Linked DNA regions of Drosophila melanogaster. The main gene of each other region encodes a partner of the protein of the gene in region 4 in a complex. Each region holds a gene or a part of one and is shown on either strand. Other genes may lie near its edges. The genes, in order: Nup107, Nup153, Nup205 and Nup188.

Region 1 (5,145 bases), on a different chromosome or scaffold from region 4:
GTGATCGTCAGGGGCAGGTGGTGGTAGCTCTGTTTCAGCTGCACGGCCATCTTGCCAAAAGGCTGTGCAAATCAAACAACAAAAATCACAAGGAACACAAGCGACGAGCGTGTGAACATTTTCTCTATAATAAAAATGCGCGTTTGCGGGGAGAAAAATCAATGCCGTACCTTGGGTGAGATTAGATGCGAAGTGCCGTGGATCAGGGGTTCCGTAGACTACTATTATATCACTGGTGTGTGCTGTTGCTCAGGTTCCGTGCTTTTGTGTTTCTCTCAGGGCTCTCGTCCACATTCGTCCACTGCGTTCCATTTTATGCGCCGCCAGCGAAATGCGAATAACTTGCTTCCTGTTTTCGGTGCTCGCTTGTTTTTGAATTTGGCTGCTCGGTTCCGTGGGTCGCCGGAATCGCGTACCGTCCTCCGACCCGTTGTCTGGTTAGCTGCGACTGCCAGGAGCTGCGACTCGAGCGAATGCAGCGCATCGCCCAATCGCAATTCTGCAGAGCCAAAATCGCAATTGCAAGCGTCTTCGCCGTGCGTACAACAAATAAAAGAAAAATGTTTTATGTTGGGCGGCCCTTGCACGATTGGACGGCAGCATATCGTCATGCAAGCGTTTCGTGCACGTCGCCAGCATGATGACCGATAAACCGCGCAGCTTCAAATTCAAACCGCAATCGATTGTTACATCTTTCGAAGGTTTTAAACATTTAATAATATTTAATTTAATTTCGAGTGCCTAAATCTAAGCAAGTTTTATTATTAGTGTTTAATTTCACTTAACAAGTTGCTAAAATTATTGAATTGAGCCCTAACATCTTAAATAATATTAATATTAAATATAAACTGCTCATCTCGTTCCCCTTGGATTTTCTTTCTTGCCAAACTACAGGCTAGTCAGACTAACAAGTTGGAAAATCCAGAAAGCAAGCAACGTGGATCGTTCCTTTTCAAGTAAATACGAAAAAGGCTACCAAAATGGAAATGGATTACTATCTGCCAGTGTATAACGGATCAAATTCGGTGGACGTGCCGGGGCTGATTGAAAGTCTCAAGCTGAAGGAAACCAGTATATCGCCAATCGTGCTGGATCGCTATCCGCCGTACTCCCCGTTCTATGGCGTGATGGGCGTCGTATTCTCCAGTGTGCTGACCTCCGCTGGAGCGGCCTACGGAACTGCTGTTTCCGGAACTGGAATCGCCGCCACAGCGGTGATGCGTCCCGAGCTGGTGATGAAGTCCATCATTCCGGTGGTCATGGCGGGCATCATTGCCATATACGGTCTGGTGGTATCCGTGCTCCTATCTGGGGAACTAGCGCCTGCTCCCAAATACTCGCTGCCCACCGGCTATGTACACCTGGCCGCTGGACTTTCGGTGGGATTTGCTGGACTGGCTGCCGGATATGCAGTGGGTGAAGTCGGCGAAGTGGGCGTGCGGCACATTGCCCTGCAGCCACGCCTCTTTATCGGCATGATCCTGATCCTTATTTTCGCCGAGGTGCTCGGTCTCTACGGCCTGATCATTGGGATTTATTTGTACACGGTCAACATTAAGTAGCAGAATTTGTTATATCTAAAATATTTAATTCGTTAAGAAACGTTTTTATCGATCTTTAATATTTGAAATGCCTTTTGAATTTCTTTACGCGATTGTGGTACTCATTTCAGGTACGCCGTTGCGGTACGCGATGGAGGTACCCCATACTAATGATTCTACGGAATGCTGGTACCTTATTCTTTAGCAGCTTTGCCGAATTACTAGATATGTAAACAATTTAAATCAATTTGTTTCTTACGAAATTTGCTTGAATTCAGTGAGAATCGCTTATTTACAAGTGTATGTGCAAGGGAGCTTTCTTGCTGTTCCGTCATCTGGTAACACTGAACGCTCCCGGCATTTTTAGCGAATAGCGCGTGAATTTCTGTTTTGATTAAATTAATTGAATTGATGTGCCGTAGCTGATAGCCAAGAAACGCATAGTGCAGCCATGGCCGACAGCCCGTTCCCGAGGAGCAGCCGCAGTGGCCTGCTACGCACGACGCTGAACAGCTCGATGCCGCCGCAAAATCTCTCCCACTCGCTGCTCATCCTCGAGAAGAGCAACGCGGAGCAGAATGAGCTCTCGCTGATGGAGGACACCGGCGATGATCTGGATCGGGGCAAGAGCCGCATGGACGTGCTCTTCCCGCAGTTCTTCGACGTGCTGCAGGCTCAGGGTAACGGGCAGGAGGCATTCGAGGTGATCCAATCGCTGACGCAAGTCTGTCGCGGCGTGGTGGAGCAGCTGGAGCTGGAGATCGATCACGGCATGGGTGGGGAACAGGGCGCGCGGCAACGCGAGTCTATGCTCACCTGGCTGCGACAGGAGATAAACACGTGGCGCCTGCTGCACGCCCTCTTCTACGACCGCATCCTGCTGCAGACGGACAGGCAGGCGGATGATGAGATGCAAGATGGCCCCACGCTCGGCGGCAGCGAGAAGGAGGTCATACAGCAGTTGTACGCCCTCAATGCGACGCTGCGTGAGTACCAGCTGGTGGTGGACTGGCTGGAGGCGTGCTACGACCGGGGGGAGCAACAAAACCCACTCCACGCCCACGATCGTATGATGGCGTGGGAGAACACGCTCTTCCAACTGGAGAACCTGCAGGGCGCCGCCTTTGGCAAGGGCCATAAGATCGTAACGCGTCTGGATCCAGATGCTCCCGTACGCGAGAAACGACCGTTGCACGCCCTCGACGAGGAGGACAACCTGCGCCTGTCCCGCGCCATTTTCGAATTGATACGAGCGGGACGCGTCGACGATGGCCTCAAGTTGTGCAAGCACTTCGGACAGACGTGGCGGGCGGCGATCCTTGAGGGCTGGCGTCTCCACGAGGATCCCAACTTCGAGCAGAATGTCTCGGTGCTGCACGAAAAGCTGCCCATCGAGGGCAATCCCAGGAGGGATATCTGGAAGCGCTGCGCGTGGATGCTGGCCGATTCCAAGAACTATGACGAGTACAGCCGCGCGACGGCGGGTGTCTTCTCCGGCCACTTGGGCTCGCTGAAAACCCTTTTGCACAGCAACTGGCACGATTTGCTCTGGGCCCATCTGAAGGTGCAGATCGACATCCGTGTGGAATCGGAGATACGCGGCTGCTGCCTCAAAAACTACCAACCGATGCCCGATGATTACTGGAACGGCAGGATGACGATGGAGCAGATCTTCGAGGAACTGAACGTTGCCAAGGATGCGTCGGTGCGGGATTTCGCCCAAAGTCAACTGGGCATTATCCAGCGTCATTTAATCCTGGATACTTGCGGCGAGCTGATCCAACACATGGTGCGCTGGGTGGAGAAGGATACCTCCCAACAATCGCCCCATCAATTGCGCTTTATGGCCCACATAGTGCTCTTCCTGCGTCAAATCGGCCGTGTGGAGCAGGAGCGACAGGCGGAGAAGATCGTAGCCGCATATGTGGAGGCATTGATTGCCAGGGGCGAACCGCAGCTAATAGCCTACTATACTGCATCGCTTTCGAATCCGCTGCAGGTTCAGCTCTACTCGCGGTTTCTGGAGCAAGTGGAGCAGAAGCGTCCGCGGGAGCTAGCTGTGGATGCCGCCCTGCAGGCGGGCTTGGATGTGGAACAGATCACACGCGTCACCGTGCAGAATATTCGCCTCGCACATCAGCCACTCGGGGAATTCGGTGAGCCGCAGTCCGGCGAGATCTCTGCAATCGATCAGCGCAAGATCTCAGCATTGGAGTGGCTAATCCATTTGCCGGAGCAGCGCGGTGAGTTGCTGTGGCAGGCCAACGCCATGATACGCACCTATCTGGCCAGCAGCAAGGTGGAGTGCATGCGCCAGACCTTCCGCATGGTGCCGGCCGACATAGTGCAGCAACTAGTCAGCTTGTACGGCTCGGTGGACAACATACCACCGCGTGAGGAGTGCTGCCTGAAGGAGTATCTCTGCTACAAGGCGTATCTGTCTGGCGTCGACAGTTTCGTCGAATGGAACCGCCTGCAGCAGAACAGGCCCAAGAAGCCACAGACTTCACACGCAGCTTCCTCGCAGGACAACTTCACGGAGCGCATGGCGAGTGAGCGCAAGGAGCAGGCTCACCGATCGGAAGTCGTGCGCTGGGAGCACAAGGTTAAGGAGCAGGCCAAGCGTAAGTGGATCGCATACCCATTAATGAGATCTTTTGGCATATAACCCGCATTCTTTCCCTGCAGAAACCATCGAACTCCTGTACAATGTGCTCATGTTCCCGGACAAGGGTTGGCTGGTGGATCCGTTCATCGCCAAGCTGCCCGAGAACGCCGTGCAGCTGAGCTGGGATCATCGCCTACTGCAGATGGAGAAATTGCGCTCCATCTGCATTCCTGAGATCGCCCTGTTTCTGAACGAAGTGATGTTCAAGTCGGGAGACTTTGCGGGTTGCGTGCGCCTGGCAGATGAAATATCCAGCGAGAATCGGCAGTTGTACAAAGTCTATACGAAGCACAAGCTGGCAGAGCTTCTGGCCAAGATCGCGGACGCCTCCCTGGAGCTGCTCAACTCGAAACTGGATCCATGGGGCTATCCTATAACAACTTAGCAATCCTAGTACATTTGTGTGTTTTGCGATTACATTCTAACTTTAAACGTTTATTATTTATTCACTGTTCAATTATACAACTAAGGAGGGGGACAAATGGGAGGTAGGTAGGATGGAGGGCTTAGGAGTTGTTGTCCACGGCGGCGGCGGAGGCGTTGTTCTCGTCGCACCCGTTGCTATGCTTTAGTAGGTAGGAGGCCAGGAACTGTATGGGATCCGTGGGCCGTTCGCGAGCCAGGGCCTGCATTCCGTGGAGCAGAACCGGCGCCACCGTCTGGTCGAGGTACTGTCGCGTGGGCATGTTGTTTGTCTCGCTACTGGGCTTCTTGGCCACCGCCGGCTGCTGTTGCTGCTGCGCCACTGGATTTGTGGACTGGCCAACGGCAATGGCTCCGGATGGAGGAGCTCCCGGCGCAGCGGTCGGGTTTGCTTGCGCATTGCTGCTTGCATTTGGCTCCTTGCCAGCTTCTGCCGGCGGATTTGTTGTGGGCGCTGGTGAGATGGGTGCGTCGGTCTTGGCCTCCATGGCAATGTGTTCCTTTTGTTCAGCA
Region 2 (4,836 bases), on a different chromosome or scaffold from region 4:
CTGCCACCTTGGCCCACAGATGTCTCCGCAAGACTGCCGGAGTCTGAAGGTCGCATATCTACCGCTTTCATACCGTATCCAATACCACCAGTCATGGAAGCATGCAGCTGATGCGCCGGTGAGCTGCCGGCAGAATTGAGTCCCAACATTGAGGATGCGGCGGATGAGCTAAGATTGCTGCGACTGAAGAGGCGATTGTTGCCGGAATTGCCCCCGAAGGTGGTGCGTCCCTGGTAAAAGGGCGAGCTAGAGGCAGATGCAGAGCCTGAGTTAGAGGCACTGCCACTAAGCAGACGACTGTCGCTCAGTGCCGACGTACTGCCGTATATGGACGCATTGAAGCGACGTCGTTGGGTAAGGGAATTCAGCGACCACGTAGAATTCCGATGCGATTGCTGTGCGGCGGTGTTGCTTCTGTTAAATATTGACTTGGAGCTCTGCAGATTTCCGTAAAATTCTAAATTGCTGTTGCTGTTGTAATGCGACGGACGAAGTCCGTCGTGCCCTTCACCATTGTCGTGGTATTCGTTCATATCGCTCTCGGACTGCGAATCACCGCAACCTCCTGCGGCCGCAGACAGTTCACTTCGTCTTGTTTTTGTCTCAATGACATTGTTGTTGTTATTATTATTATTATTATTGTTGCTAGTATTGTTGTTGGTCCTGCTTATTCTCAGCAAATGATTGAGATGTTCTTCCGAACTCATGGCCGGGCCAGTCCCCGTCTCATCCATGGTAAGATCGCGTCGATGGGTTTGCTTGCCTATGAGCGATGGTCGCTTGTGGTTAGGAAGGCTGGATAGGCTGTTGTTGTAGCTGGTAGCGGTGCTGCTGCCTCCGAAAGGTATGTTCAGTGAACGGCGGATGCTAAAATGATTTAAATGATTGCCTTATAATTTTCACTAAGGTTTTCTTCTTTTTCGTCTTGGCAATAGCCTGGCTATGCAACGCCCAAATTTGAGTTTGTTTGAAACGAGCTCTAAGGTAGTTATCTTTTTGAATTCCATATTAACACTTTTAGTAAGCATGACTGCAGTAACATACCTGTGTGGCAGATCCCCGGTGCTTCCCTCGGCAGCTTCGTTGCCCGTGAAAAAGTTGTACGCGGGTTCGCGCTGCCGTTGACTACCATACAAATTGAGGTGATTGCGCCGATGTGGCGCAATGTGGCTGACGCCCTTGTACATCTGGGAGCTGGAGGAGCTGGTGGCAGCCGCGAGCGGAGCAGCAGGCGTGGATGACAAAAGGGGCAGACGACGCATGTTCGGCAAATTGACGGGGGTCTCCAGCTGAAAGGGATTCAAGATTAGTTGGGAAATGTAGACAGGATTGAAGATGTGATCTTACCTCCAGGCGTCGACGCTTGGTCTGCACGGCGGCGGACTGTTGGAGATTCTCCTGCTCTTCATCGTCATCCTCCTCATCGCCATCCTCGTCGTCCTCTTCCAGTTCATCCTCCTCGGCCTCATCCTCGTCACCGCCGGCAGCTGCAACAGCCCCGGCTCGCTTGCGCAGCAGGAACACATTGTACTCGCTCCGCCGCGTCTGTTCATCCTCGGCGGCCAGGTCGTGTTCGGCTATGTTGTCGGCCAGGGCCACCTCCTCATAGTTGAGGCCTTTGGCATCGGAGCCGTCATCAAGATCATCGGCTGCATCGGCATCCACTTCGGCTAGCATTATCCGACGGCGTCCTCGTTTCCGCTTGGTAGTGAGGCGTCCATTGGACTGGCGTGGCTGTGACTGGCGGAGATTAGCTGGGGAGGATAAGGCATCGTTCCCATCTTTGGACGACGGCGAAAACCAACCGCTCAAGGAGGCGGGCAGAATGCTGGACACGCGCATCTTCATCTTCCCCATGATGGACTGCAATTGCAATTGCACGGAAGTTGGATATTTGATGGGAACCAAGTTATCGTCGACTGTACTTACGTTGTTGCTGTCAGACTCCCGTAGGGCTCCCGCCGAGGATTCATCCTCTTCCTCCTCCTCCTCCTCGCTTTCTTCAGGCAGCTCCTTGAGCGGCGTCAGCGGATGCTTTTTGGCCAATTCGGCTTGCGAGGATTCCCTTTGCTCCTGTGCATCCTCCATTATGCCGCTTTAGATTCAGACTCACCTTTTTAGCCGGCGAAGCAACGGCACAAAAGAGAGATGCAAAAAAAACGCGAAAAAGAAGCGTTGCCGCACACACAACAAAAAACGTAAGTAAAAAAAAAAACCAAAAAAAAAGCACACACTGTTGCAATTCCTGCGAGCTAGTTTGTATGTGTAGGTGCGGATAATGTTCGCTCACTCGCTTCGTTCTCACTCTCTATCCTGCCTTCTCTCTCTGTCTGTGCGTGTGCAAAGGTGTGAGTGCGCTTACGCACGCCGTCGTGGTTTTTTTTGTTCGCGTTTCGCCGAGGTTTTACACACGCCGCGATATTTTTAAATAATATTCTGTTTGGCGCCACAAACTGGTCGCGTTTGATCAGGATTTGACTTCTTGGCCACCAATGAAGAGCAAATTCTGGGCACAAGCACTGCAAAATTAGAGGCGGGAAAAAGGATTGAATACCGAATTCGGGCGAAGCGCTCGAGGTTCTTGCTTTTGGCTTTGCCCTTACCGCTTTCCAGCATGCCGCCCGTTTTCTTCAATATTTGTTTTACTTTTGCCGGATAGATTTGATATATATTTGATATATTTTCACCTTCCTTTTGTCTTTGTGCTTCTTCCACTTCTTCCGCACACACTGCTTTCGCAATTCTTCGTTCCTCTTCTTCACGCTCTGCTCACACACACACGCGCGCAGCGATTCGGTACGAATTTTGGCGTTTTACCGCCGCGAAATCCACACTTTTAATTGCAATTTAACATTTGCCGCTGGTCGCATTCAGGTTTTCCATTGTTGCACGAGAACACGCACCACCGATTTGCAAGAAACAGAATTTCAAAAGAGCACGATTTGATTGGGGAAAAAACGCGTGTGTGGCCACAAAGTAGAGCTGGAACCAAAATCGATGTTTGTCAGATACTATCGGCGTGTCGGGCAGCGTGTGCTAATCGATACGTTGCCTGCAGCTATCGGTTACATGCACGTTTACGGTTTGGAAGTCTGTAATTATTAAATATTTTTAATTGGTGATGAACTGCCATACGGGCTTATTACTCAAGAACCGCTTCAAGTGCGACTTATAACATATGTAACCATTTGCTTGTGTTGTCATTTGAATACTAAGCATTTGCATTGACTAAAAGGAATTCTCGTTTGTATCTTTAAGTTGGAGTGAGGTATTTGTTTAGGTTTTTACTTGGCTGTGTGATAATGCAAAAGTTTAAATACTGTACTAATGTTAATCGATAGTTGTCCTAAAAAGAATTTCCAGCGAGTTAAAATTCAGCGAGTGCTAGAGTGACCACAGATTCTGCATTAGAAATAAAGCAAATATAATAAACGAACATAATATGAGCGCCAAATATAAAAGCCCTTATTAAGGTGCAAATATGACAAAGAAATTATACAGTATAAATGTTAAATAAATCTTAAAAAATGGGTTATAGGGGAAACCATATTGTTTTGGTTCAATTTTAGCAAGCCATTTTAAAACAACTTGAATTTACTACTAGATGAATCAAATATGTTACCTCTTAACGTCTAAGAAATTTACATTTTTAGGGCTGGAAAATAAATACCGCTAGTCGATATCGTCATCTTCTCAGTTTTGCCATCCCTAGTTGTTGTTATTGTGTTCGTCGTGTTGTTGTAGCACAGTTGTTGTTGTTGCTGCTGCTGGGCAAACAAGTGTTAAAAACTATTTGTGCTGCAATATTTTCAGCAATTACCGACCGCCCTCGCCGCTGTTCACCACCCAACTTAACCAGCAACCCAGATTGGAGCAACAAAATCCACAAAGGCATAAAGAATCGACTTACACAATAAAACCTTAATCGGTTGGGTAAACAACTTGATTGCTGTGAGCAGCCAGTTGGGTTAATCTCTTCGATTTGTCAAGTCCAGCAACAATGAGCCAAACGGAGGCTAGCAAGACACCCAAGATTCCGGACTCGGAGCCGGACGGATCGAAGGGCAAAGGGAAGCAACAGCTGGAAACTTACCGGGTATATGTGGTCACCTGGAATGTGGGCAGTCGATTTCCGGATAACATATCCCTCCGCCATCTGCTGGGACTGCAGGATGTGACGGTGGATAAGGACACGAAGGAGACTAATGCCCACTTGCCGGACATCTATGCGTTGGGGCTCCAGGAGGTCAATGCCCAGCCGCAGCAACAGGTGTTGGGACTGTTCAAGGAGGATCCGTGGACGCACAAGGCTAAGGAACTGCTACGCAACTACGACTATGTGGCCGTAAAGACCGAGCAGATGCAGGGGCTGCTGCTCAGCATGTTCGTGAGGCGGCAGCACGTTGAGCACTTGCAGGACATCGAGGCGGAGTTCACGAGGACCGGTTTCGGTGGCATTTGGGGCAACAAGGGCGCCGTCAGTGTCAGGTTCACCCTTTACGGCTGCGGACTGGCCTTTGTGGTGGCCCATCTGACTGCCCATGACCATATGATGGACGAGCGCATCGAGGACTACAAGCAGATACTGGAGAACCATCACTACCACGTCAAGCGGTATAGGGAGATCTACGATCACGACTATGTCTTCTGGTTTGGCGATCTGAACTTCCGACTGCAGGGCAGCGATTCCTCGACGGAAGTGCGCGAGTTGGTACGCGATGAGTCCCAGCACGAGGCCCTTATCCAGCGGGATCAATTGTATCAAGTTCGCGAGAAGTCGCAGCTGGCCTTTCAGGTTCTGCAGGAGCGACTGCCCGCCTTTCCGCCCACCTTCAA
Region 3 (7,716 bases), on a different chromosome or scaffold from region 4:
CATATACGGCGTGGCCGAGCGCAACATGGCCTCGACCATGTCGATGTGGGCGAACAGAAAGTTAAGCACCTGCACGGCGGCGGAGTTGTTGCGCGGACCCAGCGAGTTGACAATGGCATCGCAGAGGCTCAGCGCCGGCAGGAGGATCGACCGGAAGCGGTCATCGATGGACGGGAGGAAGGTCTGCGGCTCGTTACGATTCAGTTCGCTGGACTTCAGGTCGGGCTGCTGGTCATAGACCTTCATATTCGAAAGCACGCCCAGCGCCTGCTCGGTGAGGAGGAGCCGGGCTCCCACATTGCTGTTCGCCATGCGCGTGAGGAAGGCCATGCGCGACTCGTAGACGTAGAGCGGCCTCAGGTGATCCGGCACGGGCTGCAGAATCCCGCAAAGCGCCGTACTGGACTGATCAAGGCTTTCCAGTATGTGCTTGAGGTAGCCACGCGATGCCACAAAGTCGCATAGCGTGCTCACCGCCTGCAGCTCGGAGATCATGTCCAGGCAGGCCAGCGCCAGCATGCGGCACACATCGTGGCCGGTCACCGCATCGTGGCAGATGGTGTCGATCAGCTTCTCGCCGAACGTGCCAATCACTTCCGCCGCCATGGCCTTCAGCCGCAGGCGATCGTCGCGCCGCTGCTCCTTGTTGTACGTGCGTGCACTCTCCTGGCGCGAAATCAATCTGCAATGAAATAGAATGAAAGCTACAACTGCCTGCTACTGCTGTTGAGAAGGATACACTTACGTCTCCTGGTACTCCAGATGCTCGTCGGTGCGCAGTCGCTTCGCGATCCGCAGGCAATTCAGCAGCGAACTGTACAGATTGATGCGCAGCTTCTGCGACTTCACCTCACTGATCATGATCCACTGGACGAGGTTCTTGAGAATGAATCGCAGATTGCTGCTGTTGCCACCGGAACCGATATCCCGTCCACCTCCACTGCCGCCATCCGAACCAGTTCCGATTGCCCTCTGGCCCAGACACAATGCGTTCACCTGCGAATCGTTGCCGATGGCGTTGCCATTGCCATTGCTGAGCGAATCCTCGGCGGCCAGATCCTCGGGGCTCTGGTCCTCGGCCTGGTAGCAGCAGTAGCGCAAATTGGCAAGCAGCAGCAGCACCGTCTCGCTCACCTGTACGGATATCTCGATGATGGGCTGTATGGGCTGCACCTTGATGAGTACCTTCTCGACGATATCGATGATGTGCTGGCGACGCTGCGTCGCCGGAAGCACGGCATCGGGCATGTTGCTAAAGAGCACCTGCACCAGTTGACCCCATGCTGCCATGAAGGCCAGCGTGGCGCAGCGCTGTGTCCGCACGCGATTTATGTTGACGGCGTGATTGAGCAGCAGCATGATTTCCGTGGAAATGGCCTTCCGCTGGCCGCTGGCAATGATGCTCTGCACCATGTACAGCTCGTCGGTGAGAATGTAGTACAGTTTGCGCACGTTGATCAAGTTGGCCCTGGAATTGGCGCCAGCTTCGGCGGATGCCTCGCAGTCGCGCAGCAGTTGAGTGATCAGATGCCCGTCGAAGAACTCCAGCTGCGGCTGGCTCAACGTGCCCGCCTCCAGGACGAGAATATCTAGCAGTCGGGTGACATGCAGTCCCTGCGATGTCTCCTGCAGCAGCGATGGCTTAAGTGATTTGACCCCAGTGTTTGGAGCTCCGAGAGACGCCGAACCAGCCCCATGTGCCACGGCACTTATCGATCCACCGGCCGGTAGCACATCCATGGCGAGGAAAGACGACGACGGCTGTGAAATCAGGCTGTGGCCCAATTCCATCGACAGGCCATGGGATGAACGCTCCATTCCGTTTCCAATTAGCAAAATGTCGCACATCTGGTTGAAGCGCGTCATCTGGCCATGTTTGGCCGCCAGTTTGACATCGATAGAGACGCAGTTGAGCAGGTGGCCCATGGCGTGCAGCACATGATCCTCGCGATGCTGCCGGAAGGGCAGCGAGCGTAGGTGACGCAGCAGGAAGTCGCTGCACGTTAGCCGGAAGTAGCGCAGTATCGTCTCCGCGGTGCGGCGATTGGCGCAGAGTCCATGGAACAGATGGTAAATGCGCTCCACGATTCTCGCCGTGTGCTCGCAGTACTTATCGCTGTGACGCTGTTTCTGCAATATCAGAGATTGATTTGATTGTTAAAAGTTGGTAAGTTAGTTAGTTAGTTAGTTAGTTAGAATAGATAGTAATGGCCAATGGCTTTCAACTCACATCCATGTACTTTTCCAGCAACAGCACTACGGAGTTCACGCACGAGCTTTGCATCTCGATGGCCAGGTGCTGCCGTCCGTTGGCCATAAATTCGCGCAGCACATCCACGCCGAGCAGGAAGTACACAAAGTTGGGCAACTGCTGGCTAAGATTCATCTCGAACAGCTTGATAATGGCCTCTTTCAGTTGCAGCTCAATGCTAGCCGGTTTGCTCTCCAGCGCGCCATCCCCCGCCTGCAGCTCCAGTTGCGATTCAATAGTTGAATATTCGCGTTCCCCGCTCATCTCTCGCTCATTGTCCAGATCATCGCCGAATCCCAGATACGGAACGTGATTGTTGAGGGCCAGTTGGTCCAACAAATCGTCGTCGTGCTTGCCCACGCACACCTCCATTTCCAGGCACTCGACGAAACCCTGACGAATCTCGAGCTTCTCATTGCTGCCCTGACCGTACATGCTGAGAATCTGGGTGGAGACATTCGGCAGCTGGGTGACCGAAGCCAGAATCTTAATGGCGGCCAGGGCGTGCCGCGGCAGCCAGCTATTATAGGTTACATACTTAATGATATTCAGCACGTGATCGGGCTTGCGACTGCGTGGATTCAGATCCAGGAGCATGCGATTCAGGCCCGACAGCAAAATGGGGCAATTGGCCGCCGAGTGGGCCTCAAAGAAGGCGTTCTGTTTCGCCAATGCGGCTTCCAGGATCAGCAGTGCGTACAATGAGCACTCCTCGAGTAGCTTCTTGCCCTGAAAGCGATTGTAGTTGTCCAGCCGCTCACGCACCTCCTCCACAATGCACAGCAGCAGCTGCAACATTTCGGACTTCAGCTGCAGCTGCATCATAACGTGAAAGCCCGGATAGGGAGGTTCATCGACTGTCTCCAGAAAATCCATTGCGGACGGCCGATAGGTGGCCAGTAGGTAGTAGAGCAGTTTCAGGCACTGGGCGCCAACTTGCCACTTCTCGGAGGGAACCTTGTACGCGCGATTGTAAAACTTGAGCAACACCGAATTTATCATGGACTTTAGATAGCCTTCGTAGGCCGGTGTCCGTTGCCCGGCGCCCAAACTCTTCGGCAGATTGGTGGTCATCAGTGTGTAGAGCAATTGGAGGATGCCGCGCGTCAGGTTATACTGCTCCGAACGGCTCTCGATTTGTTCCATCTCCTCCAACAAACTGCACTGGGCATAGCTTCTAGACACGGGCACAGTGGGTATAATCTGCGAGGCCTCCAGGTGGAACCAGATGACGCGCGCCGTCTCCTTCGATTTGGCCAGGGCAGCCAGCGTGTGCAGAATCTCCGCCTTCAAAAAAAGCGGCGTGGCGCACGCAACCAGGCCCAGGAGCACCTGCGGCGTCTGCCAATTGGGATGGTCACAGATCATGATGCGCGAGACCTCGTCGTGTTCCGCCACCGCCTGTATGATGCCCATTACGGCCACCAGATGCTCCGCCTCTCGCTGCGTAATGGCCTTTGGTGTCGATCGGGTGCGGTAAATGGTCTCGCCGCTCATGCCGATGTTGGTGTTAAAGTCGTTGCGCATCGAACTAGAAGATAGTGATCTTCAGAGAGATCTTCAATACCAGATTTGAGTCACACTTACGTATAGTAGTTGCCCAGGGTGGTGAAGAAGTGATCCCAGCTAACCGCATACTTGCCGCCGGTGGCCATCTGGGGCACCCTAAGCATGTTGAAGGCGCATCGAGCCGAGAAATCGGTCCGTGTAAGTCCGGATATCATCTTGAGGTAGGCCTTGAACAGCGTCTGTGGCAGCAGGTCGCTGGCCAAGCTAATGAACTTGAACAGCGACACCGAGCGCGAGGTGTTCTTGAATGCCGTAGAGCCGTTGGGATCGCCGGGGCCCCAGTACTCGTTGCACAGCCTGATGGTGACGCGCGGATCGCCGTGCATCTTGGCCACGCACAGCATGAGCAGCTCAAAGTTGGAGTCCAAGTTGGGCGGCGGTTCCAGACCCTCGTTTAGGAAGCTGATGATCGTGTGTGACGACTCGTCTGCTCGGCCGCGCAGCTCCGACACCTTGGAGTTCATGAAGTCGATGAAGTCCGTGATGAGCAGATGGACGCGGCGGTAGAAGAACTGCGTGCTGTCAGCACAAATGATGATTAGCTTGCGAATCGGCAATTGACACTTCAGTTGTCAGTACTCACCTATAGACCAGATCCTTCTCGAGCAGCAAGCTGTGGAAGAAGACGAATACCTGCGCTCCCAGTGCCTCGTCGATGAGCATCTCATCGCGATTGATGATCGAGATGGCGGTGGCCTGAAGCTGCAAAGGTGCATGCCGCAGGCTGGCCAGCGTTAGTCCGAAGCTGTAGGCAATGATGGCATTCAGGCGCGGTGCTTGCCAGCTGCTCTGCGCGTACAGCTCCTCCAGGAAGCACTCGGCGAACTCGCGATCGCTGAAGATCGGAAGTCGGGTTGTGTGCTCATTGGGTTCCTCGGTGACCAGCAGCATGGAGGTATCGTACGCATACAGCAGAGCCATCAGCATGATCAGGGTCACGTCGTCCATGTTGCCGCCCGCGTCGTGGTTCTTTCGGTTGGCCAATTGGTGCATCAGCCGAATGGCAATGTGTCGCGGCAGGCCGCGTTGTGCCGACCAATTGAACAGGGCCATTGCCAATGCCTGTTGAATGTCCTCGTATAGGCCGAGCACCTGGTTCTGATGCTTCTTGGAGCCAAACGCGCGGTTTGTGGTCAGCATAGCGCACTGCGAACGTTGGACAACAAATGAATAACAATTTGCGAAGGAAGATATGCAATTTCAGAGAATTTCAGAAACAGGCGCATACAAACCCACCTCCTTGTCGACATCCATCTCCTCGAGCAGCTGCAGCAGGCGTCCCAGTATCCCAGAGCCGTCGACAAGGCTCTCGGCATAGTTAGTGACCAGACCGGTGATCTGCGTGCGTAGAACGATAATCAGGGTCAGTGAATCTCTCTTTCAGCGGCACTGCGATGCCTGCGATGTCGAAATCTCGAAACTTACCTCCTTGGGCAGTTCGGTGTTCCACGAGACGCCGCTAACCACCTGGAACATGTCGCGAAGCGTGCAGCTGATGGCCTTTCGTCCATCGTAGTAGAGCAGCACCGCGACAAGGCCTCTGGACAGGCCGGGATGATGCTTCTGCTGGCGCTGTGCGGTGCACAGCAGCTCCACGGCGAAACCCTCGTCCAGATCGAACATGTCGGACAGAATGACCGCCTCGTCGGCCAGGTCCTGTGACATCTTTGTCTTTCGCGAATGCCCCTGCATCGGGACGCCTTCGTTGAGGGCATTTCGTAGGAGATTGCGGCTCTTCTCGCTTCTCGGCTGCCGACATTTTCAATAATGGATTATCAATAATTAGTTAAATCTACGGATCTGCAAGCGCTTGTTTTGCTATACCCACCGGATTGCGCAGCAAGTTGCTGAAGTTGTGCTTGTACTTCTTGAGGCACTGCTCCAGATCCGAGGTGAAGCCACTGCGATTGGACACCGCGGTCTGAAAAGTGTTGTACAAATGCTTGTACGGCGTCCACATGTCCTCGATTACAGCTGTGGACGCATGGGTGGCATTAGTGATTTGGCGACCCACGCACATCTGCTCGTTGGCCAGGCACTCACCATCCATTTCACTTGGTTTTGCGGTTCGCTCAGTTCACGCAGTTCTTGCTGATTCGCAGTTATTGACTATAAAACGCGGCAAGATTGCTTCGCTTTGCGACAAGGCGCCGGTTACCAGGGCTGGGTGCTGCAAATACTGGAAAACACAGATGTTCACCACCGTACGAACTCACCACGCTCGTACGCGCTTCGGTGCTTGTGCCCGCTAACTGCGGTTGCTGCGCTGGCTAAACGGTTGATTCGAACCAAGTCAATCGGAAAATCGATGCTTATCGAACGATAATCGAGGCGCTGCATCGGTGCGTTGTCGCACCACTAACTAACACAACTTCAGTGCGGCGCGGGCGGGGCGTTTTCGTGAAAATCTACGCACGGACTTTTCGTAGTTACCCGATAGTAGCATCCATTTGTTTTGTTCCGATTCGCGTTTTTTTTTTTTTCTGTTCTCCGCCACTTGATTTGGCCAGCGAACGCACTGCCCAAGTGGTGTCCTGTTCGCATTGTGAGTGAATCACCGATGGCCGCGGGCAGGCTGAACTGCACCATAGTGGGATGCTGGTTCTGGCTGTCGATGCAAGTGGATGTGGAAGTGGATGTAGAAGTGTAAATGCAAATGCAATCGGCGCAGTTCGGCTGCAATAAATGCCAAAAGGGATACTAACTGCCAAAGCCAGTGCAATTGGAAGGAAAATTCAAATTTCATTGGGAATTATTCGAATTGGAATTGAATTTGTAACTGGAGTTGGAGTTCAGAGTACTTGGTACTGGGTGTGCGAGAGCGACAGAGAGGAAGAGAGGCAGTGCAAGTGTGTGGGGGTAGCAGTCACACAGGCACACACGAACATACTCACAACTCCAGTGCATAAAACTCCAAACTGCGTTCGCCTCTCTCTTTTCGTTTCGCTTGCTCTCTCCCCTACGTTCGCCCACGCAACGCCTGGCGAGCGAGAGAGAGAGCGGTATAGAAGAGCAAGGGAGCCAGAGCGAGAGAGCAAGGAAGTGGTTTTTCCACCGAAAATATGGACAAAGGCAAACTGCAGAGTTAGCTGAAAATAAAAAAAAATAAAAAAAAGGAACAAGACACAAACAGTGACTGAAATAGCGGTTAACAGCGCTCCCTTACGGCGAATCGTTGAAATTCAAGACGGAGAGCTATCGCATTTCTTCAATTATGTCTGTTTCGCTTTTCATTCCGCTGCAGTAAGCGATCGCGCGAAGGAGCAGCAATACAGAGAGCGAGATTTGGAGAGAGAGAGAGAGAGATAGAGAGTGCGCTCCCAATTGACGACTCCACTCCACTCCCACACACACTTAACCCCGCCCCCTCGCACCCGTAATTACTATGGATTGTGGTGGTATTGCGGCACATCAGCAACAACAACTACAACAGCAACAACTGCACTTACTCCAGCAACAGCTACAACAACAACACCACCAGCAGCAGCGGCAACAACAACAGCACAGCCTCGAGGAAGCAGCAACAATAACAAATGTAAGTATCTCCCAAGTTTCTCCAAATGTGTGTGTGCGTTTGTGTTGCTCGACCATTTCCTCTGTACTTCATAATTCGCTCCCACACACAAAAAAAAAAGAAGTCATAGGACAGAGTACACAGGAAGAAACTGAACTATACCTTTAAAGTACAGCTTCTTCAAATTATAGTAAGAACGGTGCAAATGGTAGACTCACATATGGTTGGTAATTGTATTAACTATAATTCTCTATTAGTGTTTTTTTTTTCGAGTGTATTCAGTATACTTTACTCCTTGGCTATGAAAATAACCTAGTTATGCAGTGCTAGGTGATCAAAAGACTTCAAATTCGGTACTCCAAAGTTGAGACTGCCCAACTAG
Region 4 (7,769 bases):
CCAGTTCGTCCTCCAAGAACGCGTCGCCCGCCTGTTGAGCGGGATACAAACGCTTTCGGCCATCCAAGCTCGTCGTCATGGCTGCACCTTGAGCTGCCGCAATGGGACTCAGATCGCTGCTCATGTCAAAGTTTTGCGGTGGAGGAGTTCGCTGCTGTTGCTGCAGATGCAGTCTGCGTACGACATTAACTCGCAGTTCGTTATTTGTGTTGCTGCGGCGCACAATTTCTGAGCTGCGGGAAGAACTGCTTGAACTCCTCACTGGGTCCACGCACTTCAGCTTACAGAGCCCGTGTTTTCGTCGTAGCCAGGGACTACGGTTCTCTTTGTAGTCTAATATCACCTTGCGGCGCACGAACTCGTTGAAGATTAACAACTCGTTGCTGATGTCCCGACGCACGATTTGCTTCCAGAGCGTTTCGAGGTTCGGTGAGCGAATTATACAGATGGCTTGCGAAGCGACCAGCATGAGCAGATGCTCCAATGCAAGCAAACAAAGCTGGCCGTCCATGTTGGAGAGCAGCTCACTGGCTGGACAGGTTCCGGTTGAAATCGAGACATTGGACAGAGGCTTGGAGAAGGTGCGGTTGGTTTGGTTGCCTACACAAACTTCTGGATCATCGTTGTCCCCGGAATGCTCAACGTTGGGCAGTGAGTTTAATGGCACCTCACTGAAGCCATGATTTTGCTGATGTTTTGAAAATAATTAGAACAGAATGGACACACTTATAATGCCACATATACATACCATATTCAAGGCCTTTACGTATATGTTTACCAAGTTGAGGACGATTCCAAATGTGAGCGTTAAGTTCTCTTCGTTCAACTTAGGTGCACCAAACTTAACGTCTAGTAAGATTGAGTGTTTGGAGGGCTCATATGCACTGCAGCACAGTAGTTCCATTAAATCCGGACTAAATCTAAGCAAGGCTTTAACGCAAGAAATTATTATATCCGTGAGGCTGTTATAAAATGGAAATATTTAGTCTAGTATAACAACATTATTCAAGTTAACTTACTCATTGCAGGCGGAGATAAGTTCATCGTCAACGATTAGAGCCTCTGTGCTGCGCAGAATTTCTAGCTGGGAGCGTCGACCAGCCAGAAGACACTTTAAGTTTTTTTGCTGGTGAAACAAAGATGAGGTGTGGCACAGCAAACTCTGAACTGCACGCTGTGGATTTCAGTTAAGCGATTAAAATATTATTTAGTTGAACAACTAAAACAGAACCCACCATTAGGTTAGCAAGCGACAGATCGCTGTCTTGCTTCCACTCTTTGTGGTGCTCCGTCAAACTGGCGACTAAGTTAACAGCAGCCTTGATTAAGTACATGGCTGACGGTTCCAAGGATTGTTTGCTCAATAACAATGCATCCTCCAGGAAAACAGCATGAATGCCCACAAATTGAAAAGCATCTTCAAGAAAGCACTTCTTGTGCTTCTCGTAAATGATGGTAACAAGCTCAATACCTCTGGCGTATACAGGCCACCACTGCTCTACGGTCCAACCTTCTGCATCCGCAGCCGTCGTCTTAGTAAACTCGTGTTTTGACTGCAAAAGTTCTCTGGGAGGCAACAGTTTCAGCCACAAGTATTCTCCCACATCGCAATGCAGAAACTCAACTGAACAGTGGCCCTTGGCAAATACAATGAGCACATCCAGCAGCTGCACACTTAGAACTTGTTTGCTAAACAATGGAAGGGTTCTAGACACACAGCGCACGAGCCGTTGAAACAAACGCACCGACACAAATGGCAGATCCCAGTTTCCGGGACCGTCGTTGTGGAATATGGTAGCGACAGCCTTTAGCAAATTCAGGCAGAGAATAAGTGAGTTGGTGGATGTCTTGCTGTCTGAACTGTCCGAATTATTGAGGCCCTGCGATTTCTCCAGGCTCACCGAGTTCTCCATGTGCTGCAGTTCGCTGCAAATGATGCCTACGACTGAGTTGAGAAAACGCAAGGCTATGGACGAGTCCCTGATTAGCAGGTCTGTGTATAGATGTGTGCACTTGGTCACAATGGCCAGGCATGCCTCTTTGGCCCTTACGTGCTGATCCTCATAGCACGCACAGATGCGGTTCATCAGTTGCAACAGTAGGTCCATTAGTGTCTGTTCCTCCTCTAAACTGTCTGTGTACGCGTGCTTAAATTCCAGTAAGATGAATACATACAGTTCAGCCAGTATGATGAACGGCCGCATGTCCTCCAAATAATTTGAGCGATCAACCAGGACAACCAGACACTTCTGCGCCATTAGCTTAAACTGCGACTCGGGTATGGTCACGAACTTTGGCTGTTTCTTTAGCAAAATTACAATAAGATCCTTAAAAGCCTGCAGGCAACAGATCCAGTCGGGCAAATGGTCGGAAGAACTCAAATTTTTTACAGCCGGAACCTTGGGCATGTTAAAGACGTAATTAAGCCAAGGTCCAAAGTTCTTCTGTTCAAAGAACTTATTCATGACGTCAAGCAAAGCGGCATTGTTTCCATTTCCCGTATAGACTTCAATGGATATAATATTTAGAAGCTGAGTGTAGATTCGTAAATTTGGCTGTAGCTCGGAAAAGAGCGGCGAACAGAGTTTTTTCCAAAACTGTTTATCCTTCACTAGATCATCCACTAGCATTTGCAGATTATGTTTCCACATTGAGTGGAAGATGGTCATGATCTTAGCGGGCAAGGCCTGTTGAATGGTTAATGGATCCACTTGAAGGGCGTCCAGAAAGTCTCTCATATAAGTGACAATACTCTCGCCAATATTGGGAACACAATCCTTACTGAAAAATGACCGGGAACGTTTATCAAGGGCATAGTTAACCTTGAAAAATGCCTCGGTAACACCCGGTTGCTTGGCAATGCATGCGTCCACCAGCTCAAGGATGGCTATCTTTATGGAATCACTTTCTAGCTCATCAGGCAACTTCTGCATAAACGTCAATCGGATTTGATCAGCCTCCATGTCCAGACAGGCCAAGAGAGACATATTGAACTGGAGAGCGATTCTTTTCAGCAGGCGGCAAGACAGAATCGGTAGCCATCTATCAAATATGTTGCTCATGTAACTGCATACTGTAGGTATGATCCGCAGAGTATCACGCTGTTTGGGTTGTGTGTATATCAACGCCTCCAGCGGGGAAAGGGTCTCACTGTTTCCATATACCTCTTCTTTAAGGCGCAGTAACTGCATCAGGATACGCATGGATAGACGGACTAACATCATTAAGCCGTGAGGTTGCTGCTGCATCCAATTTGTCTCTAGCTCCATGGTGTACTGGACATAAGCATTGCCCACACCAACAAATCTAAAATATACATTTTATTTAAATTTATTCTTGGTTGGAGTTACGGTAGCTCTTACCTCAAAAGAATCAGACCATTTTCCAAATTTAGAAGGGAATAGACGCACACCTTTACCAAAAGTTCGCGTTGCTTGCAATTAGATTCTTTAGCAGTGTTAAACAAGTCCAGGATGTCGCATATAAAGCTAAGAATCTCGAAGTAGATCTTGTTTCTCTCCACTTGAGAGCTAAAGTGCCAGGTGTGCAAGTGCGGGAAAACATCCTTTAACAGGAATATAAGGCCGGGAATCTCCATCTGGATTTGGCGATTCCGTTTCAGGTTGGAGTACGCTCGCAGGAACCCAATGTATGAAAGCAAGAATTCGTAGCGCTCCCTTTTCTTCTCCACATTATCAATGACGGAGCCTAAAAAGCGCGACTCAAAGCCCACTCCATTGGCATTGGCATACATCTTGAAGTCGTAGTGAGATCCCGGGCTTACTGTTGGCAAGATGTGTAGGTTGCTTATCCGCGAAAAGATTTCCTCGTCTACCAACGGCAGCAGCGCAGTGCAAACATTGAGACAGCTAGACAAAAGTCCAACCGGTGGGTATTGAACGCTTTTGAACGTGTGCAGCAGATCAACGCACATCTCGGTAGGATGCACCATTTCGGCGCTGATGCCGGATATCGATTGACTGAGCTTAACGGCACTTTCCAAAAATCTTAAACCAGCTTCTACATTGCGTATGCGTTCGCTCGATTCAAAGTCACCATGCAGGTGACCCGTCTCGCGTAGCAGGCAGTTAATTTCGTGGTGCAGCGCGTCAAAGTAGTTTACCGGGAAACGAAAGTGCATAAAGCAGCCGGACGGATGTTGGATGGCTGTGCAACTAGTTCCTGCGGGTATGGTAAAATCAATTTGCTGAAATGGTTGCACGCTGGCCAGGAGCTCGAATTCATTTGTGTCCACTTCTCTGAGTTTGTGCTGACTTTCGTCGTAACGAAGAGCCAATATGGGCAAAGCCTCTAGTTGGCTCTTGACCTGCAAGATTGTTAAAATAATTTTAACTGATGCCTTTGAGTGTACAAGTATTGGCTTACATAGTTGCCTTGTCCCGCTTTTGTCAGTGACAGTGCCAGTTTGGACAGATGTGTTAATTCTAGAGGGAAGTTCTCTAAAAGAGTTTTGTACAGCGAACACGGACCATCATCTAGATAAATGTAAAGTTGTTCGTTCTAAACTAATTTTTTCGGTTAAGCTCTTTTGATTATATGATACTGACCTTCCCGACTGCAAAAGTCTTTAGCTAAGTGTGGCCATGAGACAAGTTCGCAGAGCAATTCGTAAATGCCCTCATACCGAGCGCAGCTGCCATCGCCGTCGAAGAGGTCGCACAGATATCCAACCTGGTTGTATATGGTTCTTCGCACAATCCGTGACAGCATAGAGTCATCGGCGTACATAGAATGTCTGGCAATTAGGTGCAGTTGGACAAAACACTTAAGATCCACGGCTCGCTTGCCCAGCTGCCGACAGCGGAGCAAGCTGGAGGCATCGTCGGCATCGTTGGTGCCTCGCAAGCGAAGCAGCATCCACGCTAGGAGCAAAGGGCCATGCTCTGGTCTGTGGTACATGCTGGCAATATCAACCTGCAGATCCTCTATAAGCTTTTCAATTAGATCGGAATGCTTCTCGGGCTTCTCAAAGTCGAGGCACTTTAAAACTAACATTAGCTCTGAGTAAGAAAGGCTTCGAATAATCTCCTGATGGTAAGGTTGGCTGTCATCCAGATAACTTTGCATCTTTCCAAAGGAGTGTTGCTTGCAGGCGGCAAATATTCTCTTTATCTGCTCCAACCCCATGGGCAGGTGTTCCGCTAGCACCAGAAGGATGTGCAGCACCTCGTTGATCTCACGAGCATTTCGCTCCGACCAGGCAACTAAGCGTTCCGCAGAGTGGAAGCATTCTCCCGCCATTAGCTTTCTGGGTGGGACTTCGCAAATAAGGCTCTCCAGTTGGTCTAGGTATGAATCTCTAAGGCGGGGGATGGTTATCTTTTCGACCACGGCGCGATACTCCCGGTGATAGGGATGATTCGGTACCTGGTGAAAGACGATAAGATTCTTAACAATCTTGAGGACAACCATGCGTTCCAGGGAGTAGTAATGCCGTATGTCTTCGTGCAGTTTGGCCATATTCGTTTCGGTAGAGATTAGTTGGGTAAGGAGACTCGCCGATCCACGGTACTCCTGCGTAAGGTAGTAGCAAAGGATTTCCCAGCACTGGGCGGATTCTAGATCCAACAGATCCTGCAGTCGTTCGGTGAAGGGCAGCAGCTTTTCCTGCTTTTTCTCTTTGAGCAACGTGCCCAGCTCGAGGCTGGAGGCATTCTTGGGCTTAAATTGGAGCACTCCAGCCTGCAATTCAGAAGCCACGTTCATCAGCTCCTCACGTACAGTATCCTGCGGCGTCTCATAGTGGATTCCTGAGACCATCGGCCACAGGCGCTTCCAATCGGTGCTACATGGCAAATCGAAGGATTTTATTTAGTCATTCAATATTGTCGCACTGCCGATACTCACATCACGCTCTTTTCCACCGCAGGCATTGTCTAGGCTCTGTCTCTTAACAACTACAATAAAAAATTATTTAATAACAAATGTATTCTGTTCCACGCGCAAATTCGCGGCGTTGGAGTTGCCACCTAGCACAATAAAATGCCGGGACAATCAGCTGGTAACACCGAAGGTGTATCGATAAAACGATAGTTCTTGTTTTAAAAAGCCAGTTAGAAAATTGTGATACAGTACTTTATACATTTTCTTTAGCTTACTAAATCTTACTTAAATCAAGGTATGACATCTTAGATCTGATGATCGCTTATAGATTTATACAAATAAAATATACATGGAAAGCACGTGTGCGCCCCATTATTTATCTATTATTGTAGCATTACAGTTAAATTGGTATATATTTCACGCGAATAGGTTTAGAAACCTATTTTATAGGTTTCAAATATAGACGTTCGCATGTGGCCCTTCAATCATAACTTGACACATGCATTTAGCATTCAGATCTTGATATTTCCCAAATATTTCATAAATAGCCTTCCAATCCAGCCGGACTAGAACTATTTAGGTTAGACTTTCCAATCACATAAAGCCATTCCAGTGAGGCTGTGGCTGCGGCTAACAGACCTGCGAAGTCAGAGTGCAAAGTGCGCAGATGCTGCACTCCGGCGCCCACTGCACCGCCCAGCCACCCAACCACGCCATTCTAGAGGCCCATTTCTTGGAAACTAATACCACTACTCCTCGGCTAGCCGCAGCCTCCCATCTTTTCCAGATCTAAGAGCGAGCGAGAGAGGAGCGGAGAAGGCGCGAGAGAGTAGGCGCACTCGAAGTTCACGTTCACGGCGCCTGGAAGCTGCAGCCCGAAAATTGTCCTGTTAGTACGAGAAAACTATTGACAGGCGAAAGGTCTAAAATTGCTCATATTCTGGCAGAAAAGGCAGATTGGACTTCAAAAGTCTGATAGCCGCAATGGCTCAAGTTCAGCTCAACGCAGGAAATGGGCAAGCCCCTAGCAACGGAAATAATGTCGAGGATAATGAACGTAAGTCTGCCGATTGGCAATTGTGAAATCATAATAGAAAATTGAGTGATTGCCCGGAAAGTGCACAAGTGTTGGTCTGCACAGTCCTAGTGGAAGGACATATGTGCATACCTACGCACATAGTGTGTGTCATGTATCAGGATATATGTAGGTATATATGTATGTATCATAAAGGTGTATGTCAGCAGCAGCTAGCATCTTTGACATAGCTAGGATGCTTTTTGGCCTGGCGTTGGGTGATAACTTAAACGGGAGAGCGAGCATGAGAGCAGGATAACAAAGAGAGAGAAATGTCTGAAAGGATGCTGCGAGAGCGCCAGAGATGCCACTGCTGCCCAAAAGCAACAAGTTTTTGAACTTAAGCTAAATCAGATAAGGCTAGAACTACCTCGATTTCGTTAGTTAATTTCGTAGTGTATAAAGGGGTATCAAATATAATTATTATAATCTGTAAGCTTTTATATTATTCAAAACAAGGACAATAATTAAAGGTAACTTATTTCTTTTATTTCCATAGCCTATCAAATAAGTGACGATGATTTGGATGACCTGGATGATGATTGCTTGCTCGAGGAGGCAGATACCTCAGGGGCAGGCAATAATGTGGGACGTGGTCCTTACGAGCGTGCTTGGACCACAGAGGCCACCAGGGCATTGATTCACATACGCGGTCCCATGGAGGGTAGCTTTACAGAGGGCAGGTGAGCAAGGTTTTTATTCCACCGTAAAGACATCTTTGTAAAAGTAACTCCCTTACAGACAAAAACGGACTGCTCTTTGGCTGCACTGCACCCGGCAACTACAGCGACTGGGATTTCGCTACTCCGCCGCAAAGGTGCAGAAGAAGTGGCATAACATCCTCATCACC

The links.
Region 1: Nup188 (region 4) and Nup107 share a complex: the UniProt entries of both Drosophila melanogaster proteins name them as parts of the nuclear pore complex.
Region 2: Nup188 (region 4) and Nup153 share a complex: the UniProt entries of both Drosophila melanogaster proteins name them as parts of the nuclear pore complex.
Region 3: Nup188 (region 4) and Nup205 share a complex: the UniProt entries of both Drosophila melanogaster proteins name them as parts of the nuclear pore complex.

The regions. Positions count from the first base shown.
Region 1 is NT_033779.5:10,732,793-10,737,937, reverse strand, and holds Nup107 (nucleoporin 107kD), read left to right. Parts: upstream 1-1,866; 5' UTR 1,867-1,992; coding exon 1,993-4,165; intron 4,166-4,229; coding exon 4,230-4,594; 3' UTR 4,595-4,645; downstream 4,646-5,145. Other genes in the region: CG12299 (uncharacterized protein), read right to left, coding at 1-50; Vha16-5 (vacuolar H[+] ATPase 16kD subunit 5), read left to right, coding at 981-1,562; Dpy-30L1 (Dpy-30-like 1), read right to left, coding at 4,716-5,120. UniProt on the Drosophila melanogaster protein: Plays a role in nuclear pore complex (NPC) assembly and maintenance. Required for nuclear import of Mad. Mediates the association between the nuclear pore complex and a subset of active chromatin regions adjacent to lamin-associated domains.
Region 2 is NC_004354.4:16,597,407-16,602,242, reverse strand, and holds the start of Nup153 (nucleoporin 153kD), read right to left. Parts: upstream 3,003-4,836; 5' UTR 2,604-3,002; exon of another isoform or gene 2,520-2,603; 5' UTR 2,089-2,519; coding exon 1,930-2,088; intron 1,864-1,929; coding exon 1,348-1,863; intron 1,290-1,347; coding exon 1,045-1,289; intron 868-1,044; coding exon 1-867. Other genes in the region: CG9784 (uncharacterized protein), read left to right, coding at 4,001-4,836. UniProt on the Drosophila melanogaster protein: Component of the nuclear pore complex (NPC), a complex required for the trafficking across the nuclear envelope. Functions as a scaffolding element in the nuclear phase of the NPC.
Region 3 is NC_004354.4:19,850,502-19,858,217, reverse strand, and holds the start of Nup205 (nucleoporin 205kD), read right to left. Parts: upstream 6,005-7,716; 5' UTR 5,871-6,004; coding exon 5,649-5,870; intron 5,570-5,648; coding exon 5,246-5,569; intron 5,159-5,245; coding exon 5,057-5,158; intron 4,967-5,056; coding exon 4,404-4,966; intron 4,340-4,403; coding exon 3,839-4,339; intron 3,783-3,838; coding exon 2,231-3,782; intron 2,131-2,230; coding exon 746-2,130; intron 683-745; coding exon 1-682. Other genes in the region: pico, read left to right, coding at 7,206-7,355. UniProt on the Drosophila melanogaster protein: Plays a role in the nuclear pore complex (NPC) assembly and maintenance, but with limited role in NPC permeability. Required for specific nuclear import pathways such as Mad import.
Region 4 is NT_033778.4:12,680,179-12,687,947, forward strand, and holds the start of Nup188 (nucleoporin 188kDa), read right to left. Parts: upstream 6,002-7,769; 5' UTR 5,895-6,001; coding exon 5,869-5,894; intron 5,807-5,868; coding exon 4,569-5,806; intron 4,497-4,568; coding exon 4,387-4,496; intron 4,328-4,386; coding exon 3,363-4,327; intron 3,307-3,362; coding exon 1,236-3,306; intron 1,175-1,235; coding exon 1,020-1,174; intron 963-1,019; coding exon 749-962; intron 689-748; coding exon 1-688. Other genes in the region: CG13148 (uncharacterized protein), read left to right, coding at 6,829-6,901, 7,419-7,602, 7,661-7,769. UniProt on the Drosophila melanogaster protein: Component of the nuclear pore complex (NPC), a complex required for the trafficking across the nuclear envelope. Required for proper protein transport into the nucleus.